Macaca fascicularis: one gene and its partners. The main gene of each other region encodes a partner of the protein of the gene in region 4 in a complex. Links are inferred from orthologs where the notes say so. Each region holds a gene or a part of one and is shown on either strand. Other genes may lie near its edges. The genes, in order: NUP153, NUP214, NUP107, NUP85, E3 SUMO-protein ligase RanBP2, CETN3 and NUP160.

Region 1 (4,225 bases), on a different chromosome or scaffold from region 4:
AAAAAAAAGAAAGAAAGAAACAGGATCAGTAACTTCCCAAAGGTTACACAGCTAGTAAGTGGCAGATTTACAGTAAATTGACTGGGAGTGGTGGCTCACACCGGTAATCCCAGCACTTTGGGAGGCCAAGGTGGGTGGATCACTTGAGGTCAGCAGTTCGAGACCAGCCTGGCCAACATGGCGAAACTCCATCTCTACTAAAAATACACAAATTAGCTGGGCGTGGTGGTGCACACCTGTAGTCCTAGCTGTTTAGGTAGCCGAGGCAGGAGAATCACTTGAACCTGGGAGGCAGAGGTTGCAGTGGGCCAAGGTTGCACCACCGCATTCCAGCCTGGGCTACAGGGCAAGACTGTCTCTCAAAAAAAAAAAAGAAAGAAAGAAAGAAAAAATAAGCTTTATAGTAAGTCTAAGATTTTTCACAATAGATTTTTCCTCCCTAATCATTTGGCTATTTGTCTTTAACTCTTACAGAAAAGTTGGGTTATAGTCCTGGCTTTGATTACCCATCTCAGTGTCATTGATTGTGCCACCTAAATTTCTCTGGACCTCTTGTCTGGTTGGTTGAATGAGAGGGTTGGACTATGTGATCACCAGGGCCTTTCTAATCGTCAACTCCTAGAATATATATTTTGTGGATTCAGTCTTTGAGTCTAGTTCACTTACTCAGTTTCCTAAATACAATGCCTTCTATTTGGAGCAAATACGGTATACTTTTATTAGTAAGGATGTATCTATCACTTACCTCTAATGTTAGCTGACTGTATGGGTTAAAATTGTAATCATTCATTGCATTTTTCGCCTATTAGTAAATATACATGCTCTCCATAGATGATCACGTCTGCCTCTCACAACAGCTTTATAAAACTCCCATTTTATGGAGGAGGAAGCTAAGGCTCAGACGGTTTTGATTCATCCAAGGTCAAATAGGTTGGGTGGCGGAACCAGAATTCCAGCCCCGTGTGTCTGGCAACAAAGCCTTTATATGTTTAAATAAACATTAATGAAGTCGTATATATTTTCTAATTCTAAGGACCATGGACATTGTTTTTCAACCACAGATTTTTTTCCTCCTTCTTAAATCATTAGCTCTTTGATTTTACTATCTGCTTACTTCCTGCCCACTTAACCAACCGACAGGGAGAAGGAGAGTGGGAAGAAGTTACTGTTTTTATGTTAAGTGCCTTTTCAGAGTCTAATTTACAACCAAGAACGGCAAAAGTACCCCTTGGCTTTGTGCCTCTGCGGCGCTCCGGGGATCTCCTTCCCCGTCCCTCTCCCTTTCCGAGAATCCGCGTTCCGTTGTTGAACTACGTTTCCCAGCGTGCCGCGCGGCCGAGAGAGTGGACTCCATCAGTCCTTCCTCTTTGCCTACCAGCTCGTCGTAGCATGATGATGCAAATGCGTCGGGCGCCTGTGAGTGACGACATTCTGGCTCGCGACCGCGGCAGCCGCCTTAGCCGCGGTAATAGGCGCAACGGCGGCGGAGGCTGCAGGGACGACGACGACGGCGGGGCGGGCGCTGTGCGCACAGGGGAGGGGTAGGCGGGCGGCGCCAGCGGCTTCAACTGCGGCAGCTAAGGCTAGGGCGACGGAAGAATCCCCACCAGTCGGCGGTCGAGTTAGGCCTCAGCACCGCCGGGAGCTGTTCGTGCTGTCCTCTGCGGGAGATCTCCATAGAGACCGTGACATACACAGAGGCGGGGGTCCGCAGAGGCGGCGGGACCGGAGCCTCCTCGGCCTCTGCGGCCGCCACCCCCTTCCCCGCTGCCAGCACTCACCCTCTCTCCGCTCCTGCTCGCAACCTCGCGGTTCCTGGGGTGCTTGTGCCCACTGTGTGGACAGCTCGGGCGGACTTTTGGGCCGGGGCCGGGCGGCGGGGGGGGCGCTCTAAGGCCTCCGCCTCTGCCTCTCCCGCCCCCTTACCCGCCCCGGAGCGGGAAGCGGCGGAGGCTCCGCCATGGCCTCGGGAGCCGGAGGAGTCGGAGGGGGCGGTGGCGGCAAGATCCGGACGCGGCGTTGCCACCAGGGGCCAATTAAGCCTTACCAGCAGGGGCGACAACAGCATCAGGTATGGGACCCCGACGCCGCGGTGGCCTGGCGGGTGGGGAAACTCGGCTGGAGGGGACGGGCGGTTCGAGGCCCCGGCGCCCCACGTGGAGCAGACAGGAGGGCCTGAGGAAAGGCCCGAGTGAGGCTTCGGGGGAGCTCAGGCCGTTGGGGGTGGCGACGGGAAGTGGGCTGAGACAGGCCCAGCCTTGCGGCGCACACGTGTGGTTTGGGCCGCCTTTCCCCCAACCCTCTGGGTCAGGGGTTTTCCCAGGCAGGCTCTGGGCGGGAAAAGAAATTGTAGGCCCAGGATGCGCGCGTTTCTTTCTTTTTTGGCGGGGATTTGGAGTTTGAGGGTATTACTCACGTCCTCTCGAGGGAGAAAGGAAAAGTTGTGGTTGATTGCCCTTGTTGTTTTCTGGTGTCCCTCCTTTAGTGTGTGTGTGGGGAGTGGGCTGCCCCGAGGAATCTTAACTCTGGGGCAGACGGGGAGTTGTGGGGGGCGCTGTTACATGGAAAGTGGAATAACTTAGTCTCAGCCTATGAATTAATTCTCGGTTTCCCCTGCCGGTGTTCCTCCTCGTCTTGAGAGCATTGGCTTAGGTTTTCTTAACCGGGTTATAGTTAACCGTGGCACTGGGGCATTTTGAAAGTCCCTCTCCACCCTTACGTCTTTTCTCTGCTGCGCGACTCCCCCCCCCACCCCCGCTTTTATTTTGGAGGCTGGAATTGGCCATTCTCCACAGTTGACCAGGACTCCAGCTCTGATCTCATACACAAAATATTTTAATATTATGAGGCGTATTCTAGAAGTTTAGTTACTTTTGACGCTCCAGGAATGTTGGTGATCTTATAGTTTAGCCAGTGTATGAATTCGTGGATGTTTAAAATTATAAAAAAAGATTATCGTAATTGTAAATGAGGTAGTTGATTCTGAGAAAATTCCATTTTTAAAATAATTGGTTGTTAGAAGGATTGAATAGGAAAATGTTAACTTATTTTAATAAAGCCACTTAAAAATTTATCAATGATACTGAGGTGGGAAGTGTGTGTTTTAAATTTGTTGAAAAACAAAAGTGTAGCAAAAGGATCTGATAACTTGTTGCCTACTGTTAAAGGTAGACTTCCTAGATTACTTTATTCTGGATGCTAATAAATATTACACACTTTCACATGGTTGATGTTGTTAAATTGTGTCATTATCAACAGATTTGTAAAAGTATGGGTCGGGCGCCTTGGCTCACGCCTGCAATCCCAGCACTTAAGGAGGCCAAGGCGGGGGGATCACGAGGTCAGGAGATGGAGACTATCCTGGCTAACACGGTGAAACCCCGTCTGTACTAAAAATATAAAAAAATTAGCCGGGCGTGGTGGCGGGTGCCTGTAGTCCCAGCTACTCGGGAGGCTGAGGCAGGAGAGTAGCGTGAACCCTGGAGGCGGAGCTTGCAGTGAGCCGAGATCGCGCCACTGCACTCCAGCCTGGGCGACAGAGCCAGACTCCGTCTGGGGCGGGGCGGGGGGGAAGGTAAAGATTTGAGGACTTTTTTTTTTAAGTTTTCTTAAATGTTTTTTATTTTGAGGGAAATGTTTGAGTAGTGAAAATCGTGGCTCAGGTATTTTAAGTCGTTCTCTACTGATGGTTAGGTTTGGCATTGTTATTACTTCTACCAATTTTCCCCGAGATATATATGTAAAGTACTTAGTTTTCAAATTTGTGAAGAACAGGGGTATTTGCAAGCAGATTTAAGATTAGAATTCAGGTCACAAGCCTGGCCATTTAACCTAATCCTTCTATAGAATGGAAGTTAGACATGCATGCTTTCTTTTCTCCTATGAATGCCTTTGAGTGCTTAGATTTTCTTGTATGACATGTATAGAAAAATGACGTGTTTTAAATATAGGTCATTGGATGGTCTGGATAGAGGTTAGAAGGGAATTAATATTTTCCAAATGTCTGAAGTTATCACAGCTTATTTTGAAATGTACTTAGATAAAATAAAAATCTAATTTTGGGGAGACGATGCCTTAACAGCATAATACCTATGATCCAAGGTGTCTTAGAGTTGATATGGCTTCAGGCTGTGTAGTTTTGTTTTAAATCTTGATAGTTTATCATTGCCCCTTATCTAAAATACTTTTGCTTCTTGCTCTGGCTATTTAATTAAAAAAGAAAACA
Region 2 (4,217 bases), on a different chromosome or scaffold from region 4:
AGGACTGTAATATCATCAGTCAGCCTTATCCAGACAATCTCAGTTCTTATCCTGTCACTACCACTTTCTGACTGAGGGCCACCGGAGAAATTTCTCAACTTCCCCTGTGCTTCCCTTACCTCAACAATTATTATTATGTATGTGGATGTGTATATATACACATATATATCTTTTTTTTTTTTTTTTTTTTTTTTCCTGAGACGGTCTCACTCTGTCACCCAGGCTGGAGTGCAGTGGCGCAATCTTAGCTCACTGCAACCTCCACCTCTCGGGTTCATGCCATTCTCCTACCTCAGCCTCCTGTGTAGCTGGGACCACAGGCGTCCACCACCACGCCCGGCTAATTGTATTTTTAGCAGAGGTGGGGTTTCACCATGTTTGCCAGGCTGGTCTCCAGCTCCTGACAGGTGTTCCACCTACCTCAACCTCCCAAAGTGCTGCGTACAGGTGTGAGCCACCGCGCCCAGCCCATTTTTATTTTTTGAGGCAGGGTGTGGCTCTGTTACCCAGGCTGGAGTGCAGTGGTACAATCACAGCTTACTGCAGCCTCGACCTCCTGGGCTCAAGCAATTCTCCCATCTCAGCCTCCTGAGTGTGCTGAGACTACATGCGCATGCCATCACTGCTGGTTAATTTTTGTGGTTTTGTTTTGTTGTTTTTTGTAGAGACGGGGTCTCGCCATGTTGCCCAGGCTGGTCTCAAACTCCTGGGCTCAAGCAATCCTCCTGTCTCGGCCTCCCAAGTGCTGGGATTATAGGCGTGAGCCACCGGCGCCTGGCCTACCTCATCAATTAAATAATAACCCCTAGGATGACTAGAAGTCTTCAAGATTACATGAGATCCCACATCTGAAGGTTTTTGCAAAGGACGTGGCACAAACTCGTGCAACTAGAGATGCATATGGCTCTTGCTCTGGAAATGATCACCTTGATAAGAGCAAACAAAGCTGGTCTTCCGTGCCCTTTAATCTCCCCTTCCAGCCTTCCACCTTCCACACTGGCGATCCCCCGACCCCGTTTTTCTGAACCTCCCTTCCTCCCCTTGCATAGCCCAAAGCCTCTCTCTAAAGTAGCCCACCGAAAACATCTGTCAAGTTCCTAACTTATCTGAATCGGAAGCTACTAATAGCCAACCTACATCTAAGAGGAACTGTAAGGTGTCAGAGGAACAAGGAGCATAGGTCGCTTAGACGTGGGCCACCCAAGAAGACAGATTGACACTAAGCGAACCCGCGCTGTCTGCGAAGGCGGGAGCGGCACCAGGACGATCCAGGGCGCAGGCGCCGGGGCCCCACGGCCACGCCCCTATTCAGCACGAGTTGGCCAATGGGGAGCGGCGGCCGGGAGAACGCGCGGCTTCTTTAGGTTCCGCTGCCTCCCCGGCCAAGCTTGACGTCACCAACGCGCGCCGGAAATGCGAGATCAACTGCGCGCCCCTGGCGCTGAGGGAAGGAAGTTTGCAGTCCAGCGGCCTAGGTTCTGTGGGCAAGGCCGTGGGAGGCAGCGTTGGCTGCTTCGACACACCGAGGGCGGCGCGATGGGAGACGAGATGGATGCCATGATTCCCGAGCGGGAGATGAAGGTCAGAGACTAACTGGGGCCTCCCTCCCTTCTTTAGTCCTGGCGTTGCCTTGGAGCCCAGCTGAAAGGCGAAGCGCGGTGCCGGCTGTCCCGTCTCCTGCTTGAACAGACTACCGCGTTCACCGCTCTCAGCTGCGCGTCTGCCGCGCCGCTGGCGTGATAGCCCCACCGAATGCAGTTTCCCAGTCCCATCCTGGTCTCGTGCACGTCTCTTGAGTTACCCTAGCTAGTTTCATGTGGCGGTCACAATAGTGGCAATAACTGCTGTGTATGGAGCGTTGACTGTGTGCCAGTCGCTGTGTAGTCATCGCAGCAGCCCTACGAAGTGGTTATTAACGTAGAGGAGTGAGTCGAGGCTCGGAAAGTGATTTCCCTAAAGTCACATTTGACAGCGGGGCTGAAAGCCAGCATCATTTAAGACCTTCGCTCTGCCAGTATTTCTGTAAGGCGGTACGGGCTTGCCTAACGTAGAGTCAGGGGAGGTCATCCATCCTGCAGAACCTTTAGTTGACTGAACTAGGAAGACTGTTTTGATATCGGTGTATCAGCCTCAAACCAGGAACCTAAAGGGAGGGCTAAGTGTTTCCAGTGATGGCAACGTGGGAGTCCCCCAGGGATAACTTCAGGATGGTGTGTTTAATAGTTCTTATATGTGTTCTGACAGAATGAGGGTGCAGCAAACGGCCTACATCTGTTTTAAATAGTGAAAGGAAGTAAGATGCAGGAAGATTTTAGTCATCTGTGTGAACAGTAAATCACTAACATGCATGTAGGGCATAGTAATACATACCCTGTTTAGAATAGTGATTTTTTTTTTTTTTTTTTTTTTTTTTTTTTTGAGACAGAGTCTCGCTCTGTCGCCCGGGCTGGAGTGCAGTGGCCGGATCTCAGCTCACTGCAAGCTCCGCCTCCTGGGTTCACGCCATTCTCCTGCCTCAGCCTCCCGAGTAGCTGGGACTACAGGCGCCCGCCACCGCGCCCGGCTAATTTTTTGTATTTTTTAGTAGAGACGGGGTTTCACCGTGTTAGCCAGGATGGTCTCGATCTCCTGACCTCGTGATCCGCCCGTCTCGGCCTCCCAAAGTGCTGGGATTACAGGCTTGAGCCACCGCGCCCGGCCTTTTTTTTTTTTTTTTTTTTTAAGACATAGTCTCGCTCTGTCACCCAGGCTGGAGTGCAGTGGCATGATCTCGGCTCGCTGCAACCTCCACCTCCCCAGCTCAAGCGATTCGCCTGCCTCAGCCTCCCGAGTAACTGGGATTACAGGCACCTGCCACCATGCCTGACTAATTTTTTATATTCTTTGGTAGAGATGGGGTTTCACCATGTTGGCCAGGCTGGTCTCAAACTCCTGACCTCAAGTGATCTGCCCTCCTCTGGCTCCCAAAGTGCTGGGATTACAGGTGTGAGCCACCGTGTCGGCCTAGAATAGTGATTATTTTTTGAGAATCACCACCTGTGGTGAGCCACCTAATGGGATTGTGTCATATTCCTCAGATATACTGGGGTAGAAGAAAAAAAGGGTTTATTAATAGAATCACAGACTTAGAAGATGGTAATCTCAGACTCCCTTTGGCAGCACATATAAAATTGGGATCATGCAGAGAAGACTAGCATGGCCCCTTTACATGGATGACACACAAATTCGTGAAGTGTTCCATGTCAGAAAACATTGAAGGCCGAGCGGAGTGGCTCACGCCTGTGAGCCTGCACTTTGGGAGGCTGAGGCGGATGGGTGACTTGAGGTCCGGAGTTCGAGACCAGCCTGGCCAACATAATGAAACCCTGTCTCTACTAAAAATACAAAAATTAGCCGGGCATGGTGGTGGGCGTCTGTAGTCCCAGCTACTTGGGAGGCTGAGGCAGGAGAATTGCTTGAACCTGGAAGGCAGAGGTTACAGTGAAGCAAGATCGCCCACTGCACTCCAGCCTGGGCGACAAAGCGAGACTCCGTCTCAAAAAAGAAAAAAAGACAACTGAGACAGACCGTGTTCTCAGTAATATATATTTTTGTTGTACTGAAATTGGGTCTACTGAATATAACTTGTTTTAATTTCTTTATTTATTGAATTGATCTTGTTTTGATTCTTCACAACAGGATTTTCAGTTTAGGGCGCTAAAGAAGGTGAGAATCTTTGACTCCCCTGAGGAATTGCCCAAGGAACGCTCGAGTCTGCTTGCTGTGTCCAACAAATATGGTCTGGTCTTTGCTGGTGGGGCCAGTGGCTTGCAGATTTTTCCTACTAAAAATCTTCTTATTCAAAATAAACCCGGAGATGATCCCAATAAAATAGGTAAGTTCCGTGGTTTATGTTGCAAAGTAGAGAGAGGAGTGTGGTGGCATGCTCTTGTGTTTCCTTCCCAAGAAGTCATTCTAATACTAAAATGAACACTGCTGTCAGTTTGAAGGTTGACTCCCAAGAAGATTAATGGAAGCCTTTCTAGGTTTTCTCCTTGGTCCTTTGTACTTTTCCTTACATGAGTTGTTCTTCTCAGCTCAAGAGGGAAGAACTTAACCATTATGCCATACTTTTATTCTTGCCCAGTTGAACTTGGGCTCTGGCTCTCTGGGTGAAGGGTTTTATTGGCATGGGTTTTCAGTTGGCACAACAGTACGATCCAAACTATTGGCAATGT
Region 3 (3,500 bases), on a different chromosome or scaffold from region 4:
ACTGTTTTTGTAGTAGTTTTTCATAAATCAGAGGTCATCAACCTCTTTAACCCCATTTGTTTCTAGCAGAATTAAATGCCAGTGGGTGCCGTGGGAACCTATTGTTAAGCCTAAAGTCAAATAGAAAAGGGATTTTTTAGAAATAAAAACAGGGCCAGGTATGGTGGCTCACACCTGTAATCCCAACACGTTGGGAGGTTGAGGTGGGGGGGATCCCTTCAGTCCAGAAGTTCGAGACCAGCCTGGGCAATATAATGAGACTCTGTCTCTGCAAAAAATTTTTAAAAAGAAAGAAAAATAAAGGCAGAAGCCACAGAAAGACATACATATGTTTTAAAAATAGAATACCATTATTTATTATTTATTTATTTATTTAATTTATTTTTTTTTTTTGAGACAGGGTCTCACTCTGTCACCCAGGCTGGAGTGCAGTGGCGCAATCTTGGCTCACTGCAACCTCTGCCTCCTGGGTTCAAGTGATGCTCCTGCCTCAGCCTCCCAAGTAGCTGGGATTACAGGTGCCTGCCACTACGCCGGGCTAGTTTTTCTATTTTCAGTAGAGATGGGGTTTCACCATGTTGGCCAGGCTGACCTGGAACTCCTGACCTCAGGTGATGCACTTGCCTTGGCCTCCCAAAGTGTTGGGATTACAGGCGTGAGCCACCGCACCCAGCCAGAATGCCATTATTAACTGCCTACATCCATCCCTTGTAACATTTGTTCCATAAGTTATCTAAACTTGTCATATATTGGTTATACTTGGTTATTGTACTGACTGCTTTTTCTTGTTTCTTAAGGCACAACGACTCTGTAAACGCTGTGGTCAAGCATGGAGAGCTGCAACACTTGAAGGCTGGAAACTGTACCATGACCCTAATGTTAATGGAGGTATTTTAGTAGATTTTATATTGACAGTTGAGGACAAAGGCATTTCGCTCTAAATGCCAATCTTTGTGAACTATAGCTTCTCTTTTTAGAAAGGATTGTAATAAGGTTTCATTTTAAACCAGAAATTTTCTTTTACTGTTTTATAGGAACAGAATTAGAACCTGTTGAAGGGAATCCATATAGACGCATTTGGAAAATAAGTTGCTGGAGAATGGCAGAAGATGTAAGATAAATAAAATATTCAGTGATACTGTTTTTAACTCCAATTAATTGAAAGCCTATTCAGGGGCTATGAAACGTTGAAAGTAGTGTAAAACTGGTTTTCAAAGAACTTCCAATTAAATTGAGGAATAGGCTGAACAACTTATCAGAATTATTAAAACACTATGTACTAAGAATTAAGCATTGATATAAGGCAGAAATGTAAAGGAGGTACCAAATGAATTTAGAGAAAAAGTATTGGACTAAAGCTTAAAGCTGGCTTCCCTAAGGAAAGAATTGAATTGAACTTTTAAAACTTAGTAGGATTTGCGTTTTGGGGAATGAAAAACAAGAGGAAGGAATTCTAGGTAGGATACATAGATTGGGAAACTCAAAGTAAGGTAGGTCTACCAGGTTGGAGTAGAATGCTCATAAAGGAAATACTGTCAGTTCTGTTGTAACATGACATAGGTATTCAAAGTCACCACAATGTGCAGCATTGTACGAAAACCCCATAGGACTTAACAGGAAAATGGAGTTAAGAGAAAAATACTCAAAAACTTCATTAGTGATACGTAAAATAATAAAAAGTTAATAAAAATGGTAGCACAGTTTTACATCTGTCAAACAGTTTAAAAAATACATAAATACTACAATAAATATGGCACTTTACCTTGAAAAAGGCCCAAAGTTTGCTTGTGGAATTGGCTGTCAGGGTGGTAGAAGCTTTAGCGCAGATAGCAGAAGTGTTTTTGAGAAGATCAGCCTGGCAATGGAAAAATATACTTAAAATTAGATGGACAAAAGGCTGAGAAAGTAGTTAGGAGCCTGTCAGAATTATTTGGACACTAAGTCATAAGGGTCTGACCTAGGATAGTATTGATGGGAATGGAAAGGAAGGAAGGGACACTGGTTAGGAGCAGTGATTAGAAACAGAAGGCAGAGGTGGACTCAGTTATGCAGTAAGAGTCTCTGAAGTCTCTTGTTTGGATGATAAGAAAACTGGAAATACCAAAAGTAAAATGGGGAATTAGTTCTACATAGAAATTAGATGCAAACTAATGCATGCCTTGTTTTGATGTTGTACATAGGTCAGTATCAGAGAGTATCAGGTCAATATCAGAGAGTATCAGGTATTGAGAAACATTCTAGGAGAAAATAATATATAGGTTGTTTCTGGAATAAAATTTGATTTTAAATATTCAAAGCATCCACTAGAGTTGGATTTGCTTTCACCCGATATTTGGCATTTAAATGTTTTACTTTTTTTCTCCAGATCTCAGCATTGATTATTTCATCACACTGAAGTTCTTCCTTGTTATTACCCCACTAGATCTTTCACTAAAGTTTAAAAACTATCAGGTGAATAGGTTCAGTCTAGAAGAGATTGCAAGACTCCACATTATGAGGAAAATTGACATACTAAGAAAAACAGTATTTCAAATTTGTTTATGTTCATTGTGTTTTAGGAGCTTTTTAATAGATACGAGAGAGCAATTTATGCAGCTTTAAGTGGGAATCTTAAGCAGGTATGCAATCTGTTTTAATGTTTAAATTTTTTCTGTGGAATAAAATTAAATAGATGAAATATTCTAACAATTGTATATAACAAATATAAACTTAAGTGTATATACTTAAGTATGTATGTACATACTTAAGTGTAGCAATGATAGAGATAATCATGAATCAGATAGTGACTCGTTGTGCTTAATTTGATGTATCCCATAACATACATGGTGTTTTAATGAATGAAATCAGATTTCAGTTTTTAACTAAGAATTGTAAACTTAACTCCAACACACATTTATTGATGACTTAAAATACTCATAGCTGTATGCAGAAATGTGCCAGAAAGGCACAGTGAGTCCTTGGGTTATCTTACATACGCATGTTTTTCTCACAACCCAATACTCCCTACATATTATAGCTATCTTTAGGGATACTACACTAATCAGTTGAAATGTCATATGAGCCTGGAAAACATGTTGTTGTTAACAGTATGAAAAAATCTGAACAGTTCAAACATCTTACAAGATGTAGTTGGCAGGGGAAAGCTTATTTGGCATAATTTTTTTTTAAATCCGCCATGTTTTATATCATTATAAAGTGATTTTATAGTCTGTATCATTGGATGTAATTGATTTTCCTTTCTTTTCTGTTGAATGTCTATATGTTTCTGTTTTGTAATGGGGAAAAAGCTGCTTCCTGTCTGTGACACCTGGGAAGACACAGTTTGGGCCTACTTCCGGGTGATGGTGGACAGTCTGGTAGAACAGGAGATCCAGACATCAGTAGTAACTCTGGATGAAACTGAAGAACTCCCTAGAGAATATCTGGAAGCAAAGTGAGTTTGTTGGATTGTTTTGAGTCATGGTGATTTGTAGCATGCTCTTTGATGTTTCATTTTACAG
Region 4 (4,183 bases):
ACTAGCATCTCCCCTGGACCCCAGTCAAAACACATTTGGTTCTTCTTGGAATTCACACCTGGAATCACCTAGTAAAATAAGACATAGAAATCTAAAATGAAGAATGTTCTTCTTACTGAAGTCGTTCTATTCTTTTTTTTTTTTTTTTTTTTTTTGAGACAACGACTCACTCTGTCTCCCAGCCTGGTGTACAGTGGCACAATCTCAGCTCACTCCAATCTCCGCCTCCTGGGTTCAAGGTCTTCTACTGCCTCAACCTCCTGAGTAGCTGGGACTATAGATGTGTGCAACCGTACCCGGCTTTTTTTTTTTTTTTTCATTTTTAGTAGAAACGGAGTTTCACCATATTGCCCAGGCTGGTTACAAACTCCCGAGCTCAGGTGATCCACCCGCCTCAGCCTCCCAAAGTGCTAGGACTACAGGCGTGAGCCACCGTGCCCGCCTGGCTGAAAAACACTTTCCACCATGCCAGCCTGGCTGAAAAACACTTTAAGTGAAGAGCACAGCTGGTCCTGTAATAACATTGTATCCTTCAATAACATTTTCTTATAACACTAGTAAGAAAAATTCATTTTGTGCTGGGCACAGTGGCTCCCACCTGTAATCCCAGCACTTTGGGAGGCTGAGGCGGGCAGATCATCTGAGGTCAGGAGTTCGAACTCTTTTTTTTTTTTTTTTTTTTTTTTTGAGACGGAGTCTCGCTCTGTCGCCCAGGCTGGAGTGCAGTGGCCAGATCTCAGCTCACTGCAAGCTCCGCCTCCCGGGTTCCCGCCATTCTCCTGCCTCAGCCTCCCGAGTAGCTGGGACCACAGGCGCCGCCACCTCGCCCGGCTAATTTTTTGTGTTTTTAGTAGAGACGGGGTTTCACCGTGTTAGCCAGGATGGTCTCGATCTCCTGACCTTGTGATCCGCCCGTCTTGGCCTCCCAAAGTGCTGGGATTACAGGCTTGAGCCACCGCGCCCGGCCAGGAGTTCGAACTCTTGTTGCCCAGGCTGGAGTGCAGTGACGCGATCTCACGATCTCCGCTCACTGCAACCTCTGCCTCCTGTGTTCAAGCGATTCTCCTGCCTCAGCTTCTTGAGTAGGTGGGATTACAGGCATGCGCCACCACGCTAGGTTAATTTTTGTACTTTTTTTAGTAGAGACGGGGTTTCGCCATGTTGGCCAGGCTGGCCTCGAACTCCTAGCCAGGTGTGGTGGCTCACGCCTGTAATCCCAACACTTTGGGAGGCTGAGGTAGGCGGATCACGAGGTCAGGAGTTCAAGACCAGCCTGACCAAGATGGTGAAACCCCATCTCTACCAAAAATATAAAAATTAGCTGGGTGTGGTGGCACGCACCTGTAATCTCAGCTACTCAGGAGGGTGAGGTAGAAGAATCGCTTGAACCTGGGAGCCAGAGGTTGCAGTGAGCTGAGATGGCGCCACTGCACTCCACCCTTGGTGACAAAGTGAGACTCCGTCTCAAAAAAAGAAAGAGGCCAGCCGCAGTGGCTCACACTTGTAATCCCAGCACTTTGGGAGGCCGAGGTGGGCAAATCACGAGGTCAGGAGATCCAGACCATCCTGGCTAACACGGTGAAATCCCGTCTCTACTAAAAATACAAAACAAAATTAGCCGGGCGTGGTGGTGGGCGCCTGTAGTCCCAACTACTGGGGGAGGCTGAGGCAGGAGAATGGTGTGAACCCAGGAGGCCGAGCTTGCAGTGAGCCCAGAGGGGCGCCACTGCACTCCAGCCTGGGCAACAGAGCGAGATTCCGTCTCAGAAAAAAAAAAAAAAAGAAATGAAACCATCCCTCTACCTACCCTGAGATAAATGCATACATAAATTTTTCCTCTACTCCCTCTTTTCACAGGTAAAATGCAGATTTACTGAGGCTAATCAGAGACTCACAAGAATGTAACCATTTGCCTCCTCACTGCCTAACCTCCCTTTTTTGCCCCTCCTGCTAGTTCCTTCCTCTTTAACTACTGATGTTCCCAAAACCATCTCTGGAAAAAGCACAAGTCTCAGATCCTCCTGGGACCTGTGTTTTTTCCCGGTTGGATCCTCAACCTTAGCTAAATAAACCTTTATCGGTTGAGACCTGCCTCAGTCAGCGGTTAACAAGAGAAAGAGGGAAAACAAAAGCATTCCAAGTAGCAGAAACGGTAGGTATGTCGCACATAAAGTCCATGAATTTTTTTTATACACATCACAGATCATCCACAGTTGACATACTCTCTTCAAAGTTCAAATGGAATTGAATGCACAGCGATAAAATATGAATAGTCTCCTGAGATAATACGTTTAATAAACCTTAGGTCACACAAGCAGAAACTCAACGTGCCGCGATGCAGAGCTTAATATGGCTGGAAGAAAAACATAAATTCCTCTGCTTGGGCTGAACCCACTCTAATACCCAAGAGGAAATGCGAGGGAAGTAGAAAGGTCAGCAAGACAAAAGAAGGAAAGGGACGGACTGGGACCTTCGAGGCCTGGCTTTGTGACTGGTGGCAGAAACCCCGCGACCACTACGACCCGAGGTCGGGCACCTAGTTAACACTGCGACCTCCGGAAAGTGGCAACTGAATCAAGGGAAGGGGACGAGAGCCTCGCGGCCAGTAGGGAAGCAGACAAGCCTGAAGTAACGAAGCAGACGCAGTTCTCAACCCACAAGGGCGATCAAGCCTGTTCGGGGTGCCCTTACAGTGACTGCTGGCTCGCCATCGAGCTCCTCCATAGCGCCGAACCCCAGGCTCTGGGAAGTCGCCGGGACGTCAATGCTTCCGGCTCAGGCCTCCCGCTCAGAGCTGCCTGAGAGACAGGACCCCGCCTGGGCGCCTCCTGCAGCGCCTGCAAGCCCAAACCTTCAGTGCTGCGGCGCTCTCTTCCCTCAGCCACGGCCACCCCTCTGCGGTCCTCTGCGCGCGTCCTTCCTTCCTGGCGTCGACAGCAAGTCAGGGAAAACAGCGCCGAGGACGGACTGCACTCACAGTACCGCGCTAACGGGATCAGGCGGCGCCGCGGACACCCTGGTGCCGAGCGGAGAGAAGGCCCCCGGAGAGGGCGGGCGGGGCAGGAGGAACCCTTGGCCAGAGACGGTGCGACTGCGCGTGCGTAGGCTGGGGCGGCGGCACCTGGGTGGGAACTTGTGCCGGACTGAGGTCCCAGTAAACCTGCAAGCTTTCCCAACTCTGGGAGTCCTCGCTCCATCCTTATCTCCACCTTAGTGTCGTAGCAGCCACTTGTCCAAACCCAAACAGTCAAATGGGCTTGTGCTGGAAAGCAGTCGCCGTCACTCCCACACTAGAACACACACAAGAGGCACGGGAGGCCGGGCGCGGTGGCTCACGCCTGTAATCCCAGCACTTTGGAAGGCTGAGGCGGGCGGATCACAAGGTCAGGAGATCGAGACCATGGTGAAACCCCGTCTCTACTAAAAATATAAAAAATTAGCCGGGCGCAGTGGCGGGCGCCTGTAGTCCCAGCTACTCGGGAGGCTGAGGCCGGAGAATGGCGTGAACCCGGGAGGCGGAGCTTGCAGTGAGCCGAGATTGTGCCACTGCACTCCAGCCTGGGCGACAGAGCGAGACTCCGTCTCAAAAAAAAAAAAAAAAAAAAAGAGGCACGGGGACAAAATCGATGCTCCTGAAGGATTAGAGGCTTCTCAAGCCTCTAATCCCAGCACTTCGGCAGCCCGAGATGGGCGGATCACTGGAGGTCAGGTGTTCAAGACCAGCCTGGCCAATATGATGAAACCTCGTCACTACTAAAAATATTTTAAAAATTAGCCGGGCTTGGGCAGGGTGCGGTGCCTCACGCCTGTAATCCCCAAACTTTGGGAAGCCGAGGCGGGTGGATCACAAGTTCAGGAGTTCGAGACCAGCGTGGCCAATATGGGGAAACCCCCATCTCTACTAAACATACAAAATTTAGGCCGGGCGCGGTGGCTCACGCCTGTAATCCCAGCACTTTGGGAGGTCGAGGTGGGTGGATCACCTGAGGTTGGGAGTTCGAGATCAGCCTGACCAACAGGGAGAAACCCTATCTCCACTAAAATTACAAAATTAGCTGGGCGTGGTGGCGGACACCTGAGGCAAGAGAATCGTTTGAACCCAGGAGGCAGAGGTTGCAGTCGGCCGAGATCGTGCCACTGCACTCAAGTCTGGGTGACCAAAAAAAAAAAAAGAAAAATTAGC
Region 5 (4,071 bases), on a different chromosome or scaffold from region 4:
AATGACTTTCAATTTGTTTGGGGGAAAAAAAATATTCTTTAAGTGTAAAGAGAGAAGTGGTCATAACAATGAATCCTCAAAATTTTGCCACCACTCCACTTTATTTAATGGAAAAGTTATGTAGTTGAAAGAACATTCTAACTTCTGTCTAGACCAGTGGTTTTTAATCTTTTGGAAGCCAAGGTCCCCCCTAAGAATCTCAGAAAGGCTCTAAGCTTGCTTTTTTTTTTTTTTAAGCTTGTTTAAAAAAAAAAAAAAAAAAACAGGCTGAGCAGAGTGGCTCACACCTGTAATCTCAGCACCTGGGGCCAAGGCGGGAGGATCACTCGAGCCCAGGAGTTGGAGACCAGCCTGGGTAACATAGTAAGACCCCGTCTCTACATTAAAGAAAAAAGTTAGCCGGGCATGGTGGTGCATGCCTGTAGCTGGCATGCCTGTAGTCTCAGCTACCCAGGAGGCTAAGGTGGGAGAATGGATTGAGTCCAGGACGTCAACGCTACAGTGAGCCATGATCCCGCCACAGCACTCCAGCCTGGGAGATAGAAAGAGACCTTGTCTCAAAAATAAAATAATGGATGTTGCAGTGGCTCACGCCTGGAATCCCAACACTTTGGGAGGTGGAGGCAGGGAAATCACTTGAGCCCAGGAGTTCGAGAACAGCCTGGGCAACATGGTGAAATCCAGTCTCTACCAAAAATACAAAACAAAACAAAAAAAAAACAAGCCGGTGTGGTGGGTGCACCTGTGGTACCAACTACTCGGGAGACTGAGGTGGGAGGACCGCTTGAGCTGGGGAGGCGCAAGTTGCAGTGAGTCGAGATAGCGCCACTGCATCCAGCTGGGTGACAAGAGTGAGTGAGACCCCACCTCAAAAAAAAAAAACCATAAAAATTAAAGTCTTTAATTTCAGGAGTTACTGGAACCCTCAATAAGGTCTGTTTTAGACTCTATCACCACGTTCATATTTATGACTACGCCAGCAGTTTGAAATTACAATGTACAAGTAGGTATCTATTCCTCCTCTCTGGAGGAACAGGCTGTAACTTACTCCACTGTTCCCAAGAGAAACTAAATCAGAACCACTGCCAAAATTCTGCTGCACTTCCTATTTGACCCTGAACAGGTATCTTTAATCTCTACAGGTCTCAATATCCACAGGGCTGCTGGAAGCACAAAATAAGATAACCTACACTTAGTTATGATAAAAGACACAATTGTGCTGCTATTATAATCATGGTCATCCGTGAGTTTCCGTTTGTTTTTTTGGTTTTTTTGTTTTTAATTTTTATTTTTGATGGAGTCTCCCTCTGTCGCCCAAGCTGGAGAGCAGTGGCACGATATCGGCTCACTGGAACCTCCGCCTGCCAGGTTCAAGCGACTCTCCTGCCTCAGCCTCCGGAGTACCTGGGACTACGAGCGTGCGCCACCACGCCCGGCTTTTTTTTTTTTTTTTTTTTTTGGATTTTTAGTAGAGACGGTGTTTCAACATGTTAGCCAGGTTGGTCTCGAACTCCTGACCTCAGGCAATCCGCCCTCCTTGGACTCCCAAAGTGGTGGGATTACAGGCGTGAGCCACCGGGCCCCGCCAATATCCTTTTAACATCAACAATAAAAACAGTGACTTGTAGCTAACATTCAGTGCTATGTATCAAGCACAACCCTAAATGTTTAAAATGGATCCTATCAAATTCTATCAATGTTACAACTCCACCTATGGATGGAAAGTGCAACTGGCCCCAAATACCCAGCTTATGAACGACAGGGCTGATTATTCAAGCCAAAGCAAACTGACTCAACATTCTGTGCACATCCACCTTTAATAGCTTCTTCCGTCACTCTTTAGATCCAATTGCTAAAGTCTTACTGAATCCAAAACAGATCACATTATTTACCTATAAAGAGGAAAAATATCCTAAGAACATTTGTGGAAAAGGTTAAAAATTGTAAGCCATACTAACGATTTATAAGAAATTTATAATTTTTTTTTTTAAAGCAAAAGCACCTACCAAACTGTTCTGGGGGTGGGGGAGGTGAGTATGAGGAGTGGAGCTGGACCCTTATAAAGGGACAGCGACAAACATCTCATACTCAAAACAAGGGGACTTCGCGTGTCATTTGCGCCGTCGGGCCGTTGCAAACGTTCGCGCTGAGATCCCTACGTTGTCACTCGTCACAGCCGCCAAAGCGCACCCGGGAGCTGCGTCAGTCCCCACTGGGTTCCCCCAGGCCAAGGAGGTACGACCTCCGCCGCAACACGTAAAATGTCCGGGGGATGGGAAGAATCCCGCCGACATAGCACCCGGGTGCCCAAGCCCCCCGAGAACTAGGCCGCGCGGGTACTACGCGGCGCGCGACCGGCCAGAAAGCCCGGGCCAGGGCGGGCCCACGAGCGAGGACCGTCGGGAACAGGCCGGGAGAAAGAGGAAGCGCCGGCGCCAACGGTCTCCCGCCCACAGCGGTCCCCCCAGGGCTCTCCCTGCGCTTGCCAGCGCCACGCCGCCCACAGGACCGCGCTAGCCGGCCGGCGCCTCAACAGTGCGCGCCAGGGAGCAGCGCCCGTCGGGAGCCATGACGCCCGAGCCTCGCGAGGCCGCCGCCCGGCCAGGTCGAAGCCGTCGGTCTCTTCGAGATCCACTCACCTCTCGAGGCGACGGGGCGGAGCCCTGCACCGAGGCGATGTACCGCTCCACGTCGGCCTTGCTGCGCCTCATCGCGCCGCCAACCTGGCTCCCGAGGCGCGGGAGACCAGCGCTCAGCCCCGCAGCAGTCGCAACTTCCAAGAGGAAAGCGCCTGCAAACCAGTGACGCAGCGACGTCGCCGGCGGAGGACCATCCCGACGAACTTGCGTACTGCGTCAGCACTGTGCGCCACGTTGGCGACGTCGGCGCTAGAGCTGCACACAGCCGGGCTCTTGGTAGCTCCCTGGGTTCTGAGCGGTGTCTTGGGAAGCCGGGATCAGATTTCGGCCCCCGCGTCCACAGCGTGGGGGTAGATTTCCAGCAGATAACAATTTGCGTGATGGGCTCTTAAGCGTTTTGGTCGCTTGTTCTAAATTATAAGTGCGCCACGCATTGGAAGAAAAAAGCACTCAGGCCAAGTTGGTGAGCGTGTAAATTGGAACAACGTTTCTGGAGATGACTGGTTAAATACGTTGCATCGGACGTGTGAATACTAAAGTATACATTTTAAAATTCGTATTTATTAAAAGAAATGAGGGCCGGGCGTGGTGACTCACGCCTGTAATCCCAGCACTTTGGGAGGCCGAGGCGGCCGGATCATGAGGTCAGGAAATCGAGACCATCCTGGTTAACCCAGTGAAACCCCATCTCTACTAAAAATACAAAAAAAAAAAAAAAAAAAAAAATCAGCGGGACGGGGTCGCACGCACCTGTAGTCCCAGCTACTCGGGAGGCTGAGGCTGGAGAATCGCTTGAACCTGGGAAGCGGAGGTTGCAGTGAGCAGAGATTGCGCCACTGCCCTCCGCTTGGGCGACAAAGCAAGACTCCGTCTGAATTTAAAAAAAAAAAAAAAATTGGCTGGGCGCGGTGGCTCAAGCCTGTAATCCCAGCACTTTGGGAGGCCGAGATGGGCGGATCACGAGGTCAGGAGATCGAGACCATCCTGGCTAACACGGTGAAACCCCGTCTCTACTAAGAAATACAAAAACTAGCCGGGCGAGGTGGCAGCGCTTGTAGTCCCAGCTACTCGGGAGGCTGAGGCCGGAGAATGGCGTGAACCCGGGAGGCGGAGCTTGCAGTGAGCTGAGATCCGGCCACTGCACTCCAGCCTGGGCTACAGAGCGAGACTCCGTCTCAAAAAAAAAAAAAAAAATTTAGAATTGCATAATGAAAAAGTAGGCCACAAATACTAAGTTTTGGACAATTACAATTTTTTAAAGTCATCCCTTGGCGGGGGATTGGTTCCAGAACCACCGGTTTATGCCAAAACCCACGCATTCCGCTGGGCGCGGTGGCTCACGCCTGTAATCCCAGCACTTTGGGAGGCTGAGGCAGGCGGATCACCTGAGATCAGGAGTTCGAGACCAGCCTGGCCAACATGGCGAAAGCCC
Region 6 (4,069 bases), on a different chromosome or scaffold from region 4:
AAGAAATTACAAAAATTAAAACTATCAAATAAACACTTACATTCACCTATCCATTAAGGCTATTAAAAATCTCAAAATACTATCTTTCCCACTGTGCTGAAAGTAAGTCCCACTCAACCCTAAACCCAAATCTCTCCTTATACCCTGACAAATAATAATTTACAAATCCCTCTCTACACCTTGACATTCTAGGTCTTAAAGTTGACATTTTTACCTACTAGCATGTGTCAACATCAAACAGCACTGAAGTTGTCTGTACCACAGAAAGTGGATTGAGACTATGTTACTAACAAATACAAATTATAAGATTAAAAGACAACAATCCCACAATCTGAAAACAGTATGAGTCACCAAGAAACAAAAACAAAAACAAAAAAAACAGTGAAAAGAATATGGTAATAGTTTAAATTCCAGTTTGAAATCCTTTAATTATGTCAGTGAAAAATAAGCACCTTCCCTAGGAATGTATTGTTACATTTAAAATGCTATTCGTTTTATCACGTGAAAAAGATTTTCTAAAAACTGTGTTAGGAGTTCTATTCAGTATTATTATAGAATCTAACTATGAATGCTTAAAATGCCTTCATAGTTCCAAAACCAATTTAGTTAAAATAATTACTTAGAAATGTAATGTAAAGCAACTGTCAAAATGCAAATCATTTTAACACAGAAACAAGTATTTTAAAGTATACCATTACCTTTAATTCATGATAATCTATTGCTTCATCTTTGTCTGTATCAAATAGTTCAAAAGCATCTTTAATTTCTTGTTTCTGTTCCTCAGACAGTTCTCTTCTTTTTTTCCTCTTTGTTTTGTCTACTACAAGCTCACTTCTATGAAATGGAAAGAAAAAGCCCTTAGTCCACTTTAATTCTCTTTACTAACAGAAATTAGCCAATAATTATTTTCTAAATTTCAAAAAAGAAAGTACTTTGGAGAAAGACAGGGAAACTTTCCCTTTATGAGTCAATGCCCTGTTTATTCCATAGTCTAAATTGCTATAAATATGAACTTCCCAAAACTAAAGAGTGTTACAGATTATTAAAAGAAATGAGGACCAAACTTTTCCTTTTCCCAGCTTTTTATTTATTCCCACTTTCCCTAACTTTTTATTTATTCAAGAACTGTGAATAAGCAACATTACGTTTATGTCTGAAACTCCAACCAACTCCAACCAAAAAAAAAACAAAAACACTCACATTATTCTACAAGAATGTTAAAGAAACCAAAAAATCTCCAAATGAAACCAAAATTCGTAACTGACAATCACCATATATCGGTTTACTTTTGATAGTTCTGATAATTAAGTTCATAAAATTACTACAAAAAATACAACTGGATTAACTTATATTTTGGGACTGTTGGTTCAAAATGTTTTTAGATTACACGTTTCTAACAGTTTGGCAATTTATGTGTCATTTCCTCCACTGATATTAACAAATCACCCAAAATATTAATGAGTCTAAACATATGACAAATATTAGATGTCAAAAAAGTATACAATATTTGTGCTTCATAAGTCTTATCTCACTTAAGATGTAAACTGGAGGTTAAACTTCTCATAAACTCTGGAAACGCTTAAAGAAAAAAGCAAAAATTACTTTAAAGCCAGAAATGTTTTCCGTAAGAGCTGCCCATCTAAATGTGCTCCAAGTTTTCCAATGGAGCCGCAACACTGGTATAAGAACAAGTTTTGAAACACACAATCTGGTAACACATTAACATGTCAAAACCAGTTGACTGTATTTAAAACACGTATCTAGCTGCATTTGAAAGTCGTTTTGGTCTCTGAACGCTACAAAAAAAAAAAAAAAAAGGCTAGGAAGTGACCAGTAGATGCAGTATGACAAAGCTGAGGAAGATCTTCCTTTCATGAGACCTGACTTGACACAAACTTGGGTATTCCTGGGGTCAGTCTTTTCCTTCCTGAGACTTTTAGAGGCCAAGTCCAGAACCGACCCACCCCTGACCCCATCCAAGGGTACCATGATTATCCCTTAGCAGAACATGGAACATTTTTAGAGTGTCCTAAGTATATGTATAGTTTTACGGTACAACGTCTACGTAGGGGGAGCGGGTAACAGACAGAGGGTTAGAGGTTAGAACTGAAAGGTAAAGAAATGAAAGAAACAGGAAATCCAAGAGACAGTTTGCCAATTAGTCACTAAAATGGGTTTCTAATTACACCGTAAAGCAGGACCTTGGGAGAATAGCAAAGAGTTTTTTGTTATTTCCAAAATTTATAGGTGGATGATTGCATCAGCAGCAGAGCAGCGGAGGTGGGGCCCTGGCCAGGCATACGAATTGAATGAAGGGATGTTCCGCGGCCTGATCTCTCAGAGCAACAGAGTAGAAGCCTCGCGATATTTCATTCCCTCCCCCTCGCTCGCAACTAAGCCCATTTTTTTGGTAGTCCAAAGCCCTACGCGCTGACAGAAATAACCTCCTTAGTAGAAATGCACTGGAAGTCTCGTTCCCTGCAGGGCACCAGAGCCCAGAGGGTGAGTGATCCAGACAGGCTGCCCTAGGCTCCTTTCCCGCATCCCAAACAGCATCCCCTGCCTCGCCACGGCCCCAAACGGCCTCCCTTCCACACACACCCTCCCTAGGTCCCGCTCCGGGGTGTGGAGAGCACTGCCGCCTCCTTATTACCGACCTCAGAGCTAAACTCATTATCTCTTCGGATAGAGTCGTTCCTCTCAAGAAACGATTTTAACCCCCTACCCAAAGCAGCAAGACTCCCACAACCGTTCAACAGACACGAACGACCTCAGCGGCCTCAGGGACCTCCCACAACATAGACACTTTTGAGCTGGATTGGTTGAAATGTCGCTATGGTTCTGCCCATTATGGCGGAAGCTTTACCAATTTTATTTTCATTGGGTACGCTTTACGTCAATCAAGAAAAAAAAAAAACCTCTCTCTCCCCGCCCCCCCCCCCCCCCGCCACCCACCCCGCCCCTCCATTCCTAGGGCCGCTCTCGCCCTTCGGATTGGCCTGATGCCTTTTTCCCCGAATCCTTTGCGGGTCCGGCCTCCGATCCCTGTGTGGTGGTTTGCGTGGTGGGTGCTCCTAGTCTCTCGCGTATTGTCCTGCGGTCTGTGGGCCGACGTTCGAAAACTAGATGGATAACTTGGACGGTGGGAAGGGAAGGGACACGCTGCAGGCCACCCTCCGGCTAGAAGGAGGCAGTAGTTGAGGAACAAGGTCTGCGAAGCGTGGCTGTGCTCTGTTCTAAAACTTTGGATGGCTTCAGTACCTGGGGAATGTGTTTAAAATGCAGACTTAAATGCCCCTTTCTCCATTCTAATTTCAGTAGGTATGAATCTGCGTTTGTATTCCTCACAAGCCTTCCAAGTGATTCTGAGGCAGGTGCTGTGACTATACTTGGATTATCACAGGGTTAGATTATCAGGCTATTTATGGTGATGCTGTATCTAAACCGCCCTTCCCTCTCCTTTTCCTCCTTTGAACTGTTTGAAACGGATTTGTTGGCTTCTGTCTCTTATTTTACGGTGCTGTAAATTGTTAATACACGTGAGACTGTATTCACTACCAAACCAAGTCTCCTAAAGCTCACTTGAATGTCTACTTATTCGTCTCCCTTACCAGGTTCAATTTCTTGAAGGCCGTGATTATATCTATTTAACGCTTTTCCTTGTACCTAATAAAATGTCTGGTGCATAGGTGCTCGGTAAATTGAGTGGAATCTTTTGAAAACCCACAAAATACTGAGCTAAACAGCAAATCTCATAAACGGGAATAAAATAGCCTGAGAATGGGAGTTGAAGGCGGAGAATATGTAAACATATGTTTAAGGGATGTATATAAAATTTTAGAGAAGGGAGAGAGCACAAGATAGGCTTCCTAAAGAGGTGGCATAAACGTTAGACCTACAAGGATGGGCTAAATTTGCACAAGTAAAGATAGTATGATAGAACAAGCTAAAAATTAGCTAAGGGATAGCACCCCTAAAAAACAAAAGCGGAACTTTTATTTTGTTCGTATTTTAAATTTTAAAGTACCTTTATAAATCACCTTTGAGTCTAAAAGGAAAGAGAAATTGT
Region 7 (3,500 bases), on a different chromosome or scaffold from region 4:
ATCCTGGGCTTTTGGAGGCCAAGACGGGCGGATCACCTGAGGCCAGGAGTTTGAGACCAGCCTGGCCAACATGGCGAAACTCCATCTCCACTAAAAATACAAAATTAGCCAGGCGTGGTGGCGCATGCCTGTAATCCCAGATACTCTGGAGGCTAGGCAGGAGAATCGCCTGAACTCAGGAGGCGGAGGTTGCAGTAAGCAGAGATTGCACCACTGGACTCTAGTCTGGGAGACAGAGAAGACTCCTCTCAAAAACAAAAAAAAAATTGGATTCTGGATCAGGAAAAAAAATTATGGGCACAATTGGCAAAATCTGAATATAAACTATATATATTATATTTGGCAAAATTTGAATATAAACTGTATAATATTATGTCAATATCAAATAATCTGATTTTTAAATTGGGCTGTGGTTATTTAATATCCGTGTTCTTAGATACATGCTGAAATATTTAAGGATATTTAAGGATAAAGGAGCGTGATATCTACAACTAACTTTTCAGCAGTTCAGGAAAAACTATGTTTAGAGAAAGAAGAAAAGCAAATGGAAGTTAACAAATGATGAATCCAGGTGAAGTGCATACAGGAATTCTTTGTGTTACTCTTGCAACTCCTACCTTAAGTTGGAAATTACTTCAATACAAAAAGTAAACAGGCCAGGTGTGGTGGCTCACACCTGTAATCCCAACACTTTGGGAGGCCGAGGCAGGTGAATCACCTAAGGTCAGGAGTTCAAGACCAGCCTGACCAATATGGTGAAACCTCGTCTCTACTAAAAATACAAAAATTAGTTGGGCATGATGGCGTGCACCTGTAGTCCCAGCTACTCAGGAGGCTGAGACAGGAGAAGTGCTTGAACCCCGGTTGCAGAGGTTGCAGTGAGCTGAGATCATGCCACTGCACTCCAGCCTGGGTGACACAGCAAGACTCCAACTCAAAAAAAAAAAAGAAAATAAATACAATAAAATACAAAAAAAGTACAGATAATAACACAGAAAACTATTTAAATGAATGAATCACAATTTTAGGGGAAAAAATACAAATGCAAAGTCGTAAAGGCTAACCGCAACATTCGGCAGACTAACACTGGGCAAGACCCACTGAACTTTTTGTTTTCTGAAGGCATTTTATTACAACAGCCACTGAACTGTCTCAAGAAGGTCTTCTCCATGCCTCAGTTCGCTTACTTTTTTCAGCAGGCACACCATGTTTGTGTGTGGATTCAAATGTAGGGCAAGAGGATGAGAGAGGGCTTCTTGATACTGAAGACAACAGGCATAGAACTTGCACCAGAATTCTTGTTGTAAATTTCGAAACTCCTCCTGGGAGAATTCATACTCTGTTACACTTCCTTGAAGCTGGCAAAGAAGAAATGAAAGAAATTAAACTTTTGATGCCATTTAGGATCTTTGTCCACAAAAAGTGTAATTGTCCAATATCATTATACTAAGCTACAGCCAAATGAATATTCCTTACGTATAAAAGGCCATAGAATACGCAAATGCATATCTGATTCTCTAGTTAAAAGGTTTAAAACATTTGTACTTCCAACGAACAAGGTCAAGTGAAGAATTCCAATAATTCCTCAGTGCCAATCTGCTCTATATCAAGATGGAAGGAATTCTTACTCTTTCTCTACCCAAACCTCACCTCATTTTCAACAGCTAAAGTAACTTCCTTCTTCAGTTCACTCCAGGAAAGATCCAAATTCCTCTCAGTTCCTCGGCAGAAAATCTAACATTAAAAGACATTTTAGACTTCTATATAATAGCCAAAACTGAATGAAAAATATTTCAGTTTAGAAGACATGGAGGCAATGTAAAACTATATAATAGAGATCTGGCATACGTGGAACACACATCACCTGAGAGAAAGTTAAGAAACTGCGCGTATTTAGTCTGGAGAAAGATGACCTGGAAAGATTCTTAAAACACCTGAAAGGTTGATTTATAGAAGAGAGGCTTCCTTTTCAATGATACACTTTGGGAATAATAACTCCCACAAGAGGTAGTGAGACAGTGGTCAGTGGAGGTAGAGACAATTAAAGGCTGAATTAACTATCACAAAAGCCTCAGAAGGCATTTCTGTTTTATGTGGGAGGTCAGACTAGAAGATTCTAATATAACTTTCAATTATATGAGTTATTGTATTTTAAATCCATCCATGAAGCTAAGTAGTAATGTAAAGAAGCCTATGCAGGCTGGGTGCAGTGGCTTATGCCTGTCATCCCAGCCCTTTGGGAGGCCAAGGCGGGTGGATCATCTGAGGCCAGGAGTTTGAGACAAGCCTGGCCAATATGACGAAACCTTGTATCTACTAAAAACTACAAAAATTAGTGGGGTGTGGTGGCATGTGTCTGTAGTCCCAGCTACTCGAGAGGCTGAGGCAGGAAAATCACTTGAACCCAAGAGGTGGAGGTTGCAGTGAACCAAGATCGTGCCACTATACTCCAGCCTGGGCAACAGAGCAAGACTCTGCCTCAAAGAAAAAAAAAAAAGTCTATATAACTTTTTTGTTGTTTTAAAAGAGATGGGAATCTTGCCATGTTACCCAGGCTGGTCTTGAACTCCTGAGCTCAAGCAAATCACCCCCTTGGCCTTCCAAAGTGCTGAGATTACAGGTATGAGCCACTGCATCTGGCCAGAAGCCTGCGTAACCTTAAAAAACCCTTTCTGTTTTTTTTTTCTTAAAGACAGGGTCTCACTCTGTTTCCCAGGCTGGAATGCAGTGGCATGATCAAGGCTCACCGTACCCTCTACTTCCTGGGCTAAAGCTGTCCTCCAACCTAGGGCTCCTGAGTAGCTGGGACCACTGGTGCATACCACCTGGCTATTTTTCTTTTTTCTTCAGAGATGGGGTCTCCCTCTGTTGCCCAGGCTGCTCTCAAACTCCTGGGCTCAAGTGATCTTCCTGCTTCAGTCTCCCAAGGTTTTGGGATTATAGGTGTGAGTCACCACTGTTGGCCAAAGAATCTTTTTGTAAAGCACTGGGCTTCTCTTATACTATGAATTTGAAGCTAAAAGCCTTTATCTTTTTTTTTTTTGAGACGGAGTCTCACTCTGCCACCAGGCTGGAGTGTAGTGGTGCAATCTCGGCTCACTGCAACCTCTGCCTCCTGGGTTCAAGAGATTCTCCTGCTTCAGCCTCCTGAGTAGCTGGGACTACAGGCACGCGCCACCACGCCCGGCTAATTTTTGTATTTTTAGTAGAGATGGGGTTTCACCATGTTAGCCAGGATGGTCTTGATCTCTTGACCTCGTGATCCACCTGCCTCGGCCTCCCAAAGTGCTGGGATTACAGGCGTGAGCCACCACGCCCGGCCAAGAGTTTCTTGAATTTGAACCAAGTCAGACCTTCACTGTCCTAATAAAAAGGTTAGAACAGTATAACCAAAACTAAACAAAAAAGCACTTTAAGTATGCAGTGTAGTATGGTATCTTTTTACAATACTGTAGGTAGAGGTTTCTCTTTTTAACTCCAGCATGTGTCATGCTGGGATT

Evidence for each region.
Region 1: NUP85 (region 4) and NUP153 share a complex: the UniProt entries of both Homo sapiens proteins name them as parts of the nuclear pore complex. The link is inferred for Macaca fascicularis from reciprocal best matches to the Homo sapiens genes NUP85 and NUP153.
Region 2: NUP85 (region 4) and NUP214 share a complex: the UniProt entries of both Homo sapiens proteins name them as parts of the nuclear pore complex. The link is inferred for Macaca fascicularis from reciprocal best matches to the Homo sapiens genes NUP85 and NUP214.
Region 3: NUP85 (region 4) and NUP107 share a complex: the UniProt entries of both Homo sapiens proteins name them as parts of the nuclear pore complex. The link is inferred for Macaca fascicularis from reciprocal best matches to the Homo sapiens genes NUP85 and NUP107.
Region 5: NUP85 (region 4) and E3 SUMO-protein ligase RanBP2 share a complex: the UniProt entries of both Homo sapiens proteins name them as parts of the nuclear pore complex. The link is inferred for Macaca fascicularis from reciprocal best matches to the Homo sapiens genes NUP85 and RANBP2.
Region 6: NUP85 (region 4) and CETN3 share a complex: the UniProt entries of both Homo sapiens proteins name them as parts of the nuclear pore complex. The link is inferred for Macaca fascicularis from reciprocal best matches to the Homo sapiens genes NUP85 and CETN3.
Region 7: NUP85 (region 4) and NUP160 share a complex: the UniProt entries of both Homo sapiens proteins name them as parts of the nuclear pore complex. The link is inferred for Macaca fascicularis from reciprocal best matches to the Homo sapiens genes NUP85 and NUP160.

Annotation. Positions count from the first base shown.
Region 1 is NC_088378.1:155,186,264-155,190,488, forward strand, and holds the start of NUP153 (nuclear pore complex protein Nup153), read left to right. Parts: upstream 1-1,425; 5' UTR 1,426-1,960; coding exon 1,961-2,071; intron 2,072-4,225. UniProt on the Homo sapiens protein: Component of the nuclear pore complex (NPC), a complex required for the trafficking across the nuclear envelope. Functions as a scaffolding element in the nuclear phase of the NPC essential for normal nucleocytoplasmic transport of proteins and mRNAs.
Region 2 is NC_088389.1:12,731,381-12,735,597, reverse strand, and holds the start of NUP214 (nuclear pore complex protein Nup214), read left to right. Parts: upstream 1-1,417; 5' UTR 1,418-1,536; coding exon 1,537-1,581; intron 1,582-3,145; exon of another isoform or gene 3,146-3,247; intron 3,248-3,678; coding exon 3,679-3,874; intron 3,875-4,217. UniProt on the Homo sapiens protein: Part of the nuclear pore complex. Has a critical role in nucleocytoplasmic transport.
Region 3 is NC_088385.1:75,480,293-75,483,792, forward strand, and holds part of NUP107 (nuclear pore complex protein Nup107), read left to right. Parts: intron 1-797; coding exon 798-888; intron 889-1,034; coding exon 1,035-1,111; intron 1,112-2,558; coding exon 2,559-2,618; intron 2,619-3,287; coding exon 3,288-3,433; intron 3,434-3,500. UniProt on the Homo sapiens protein: Plays a role in the nuclear pore complex (NPC) assembly and/or maintenance. Required for the assembly of peripheral proteins into the NPC. May anchor NUP62 to the NPC. Involved in nephrogenesis.
Region 4 is NC_088390.1:81,592,305-81,596,487, reverse strand, and holds the start of NUP85 (nuclear pore complex protein Nup85), read right to left. Parts: upstream 2,801-4,183; 5' UTR 2,725-2,800; coding exon 2,692-2,724; intron 69-2,691; coding exon 1-68. UniProt on the Homo sapiens protein: Essential component of the nuclear pore complex (NPC) that seems to be required for NPC assembly and maintenance. As part of the NPC Nup107-160 subcomplex plays a role in RNA export and in tethering NUP96/Nup98 and NUP153 to the nucleus.
Region 5 is NC_088387.1:16,208,322-16,212,392, reverse strand, and holds the start of E3 SUMO-protein ligase RanBP2, read right to left. Parts: upstream 2,801-4,071; 5' UTR 2,712-2,800; coding exon 2,640-2,711; intron 1-2,639. UniProt on the Homo sapiens protein: E3 SUMO-protein ligase which facilitates SUMO1 and SUMO2 conjugation by UBE2I. Involved in transport factor (Ran-GTP, karyopherin)-mediated protein import via the F-G repeat-containing domain which acts as a docking site for substrates.
Region 6 is NC_088380.1:94,405,614-94,409,682, forward strand, and holds the start of CETN3 (centrin-3), read right to left. Parts: upstream 2,801-4,069; 5' UTR 2,675-2,800; coding exon 2,658-2,674; intron 835-2,657; coding exon 699-834; intron 1-698. UniProt on the Homo sapiens protein: Plays a fundamental role in microtubule-organizing center structure and function. As a component of the TREX-2 complex, involved in the export of mRNAs to the cytoplasm through the nuclear pores.
Region 7 is NC_088388.1:18,015,863-18,019,362, reverse strand, and holds part of NUP160 (nuclear pore complex protein Nup160), read right to left. Parts: intron 1,735-3,500; coding exon 1,651-1,734; intron 1,359-1,650; coding exon 1,188-1,358; intron 1-1,187. UniProt on the Homo sapiens protein: Functions as a component of the nuclear pore complex (NPC). Involved in poly(A)+ RNA transport.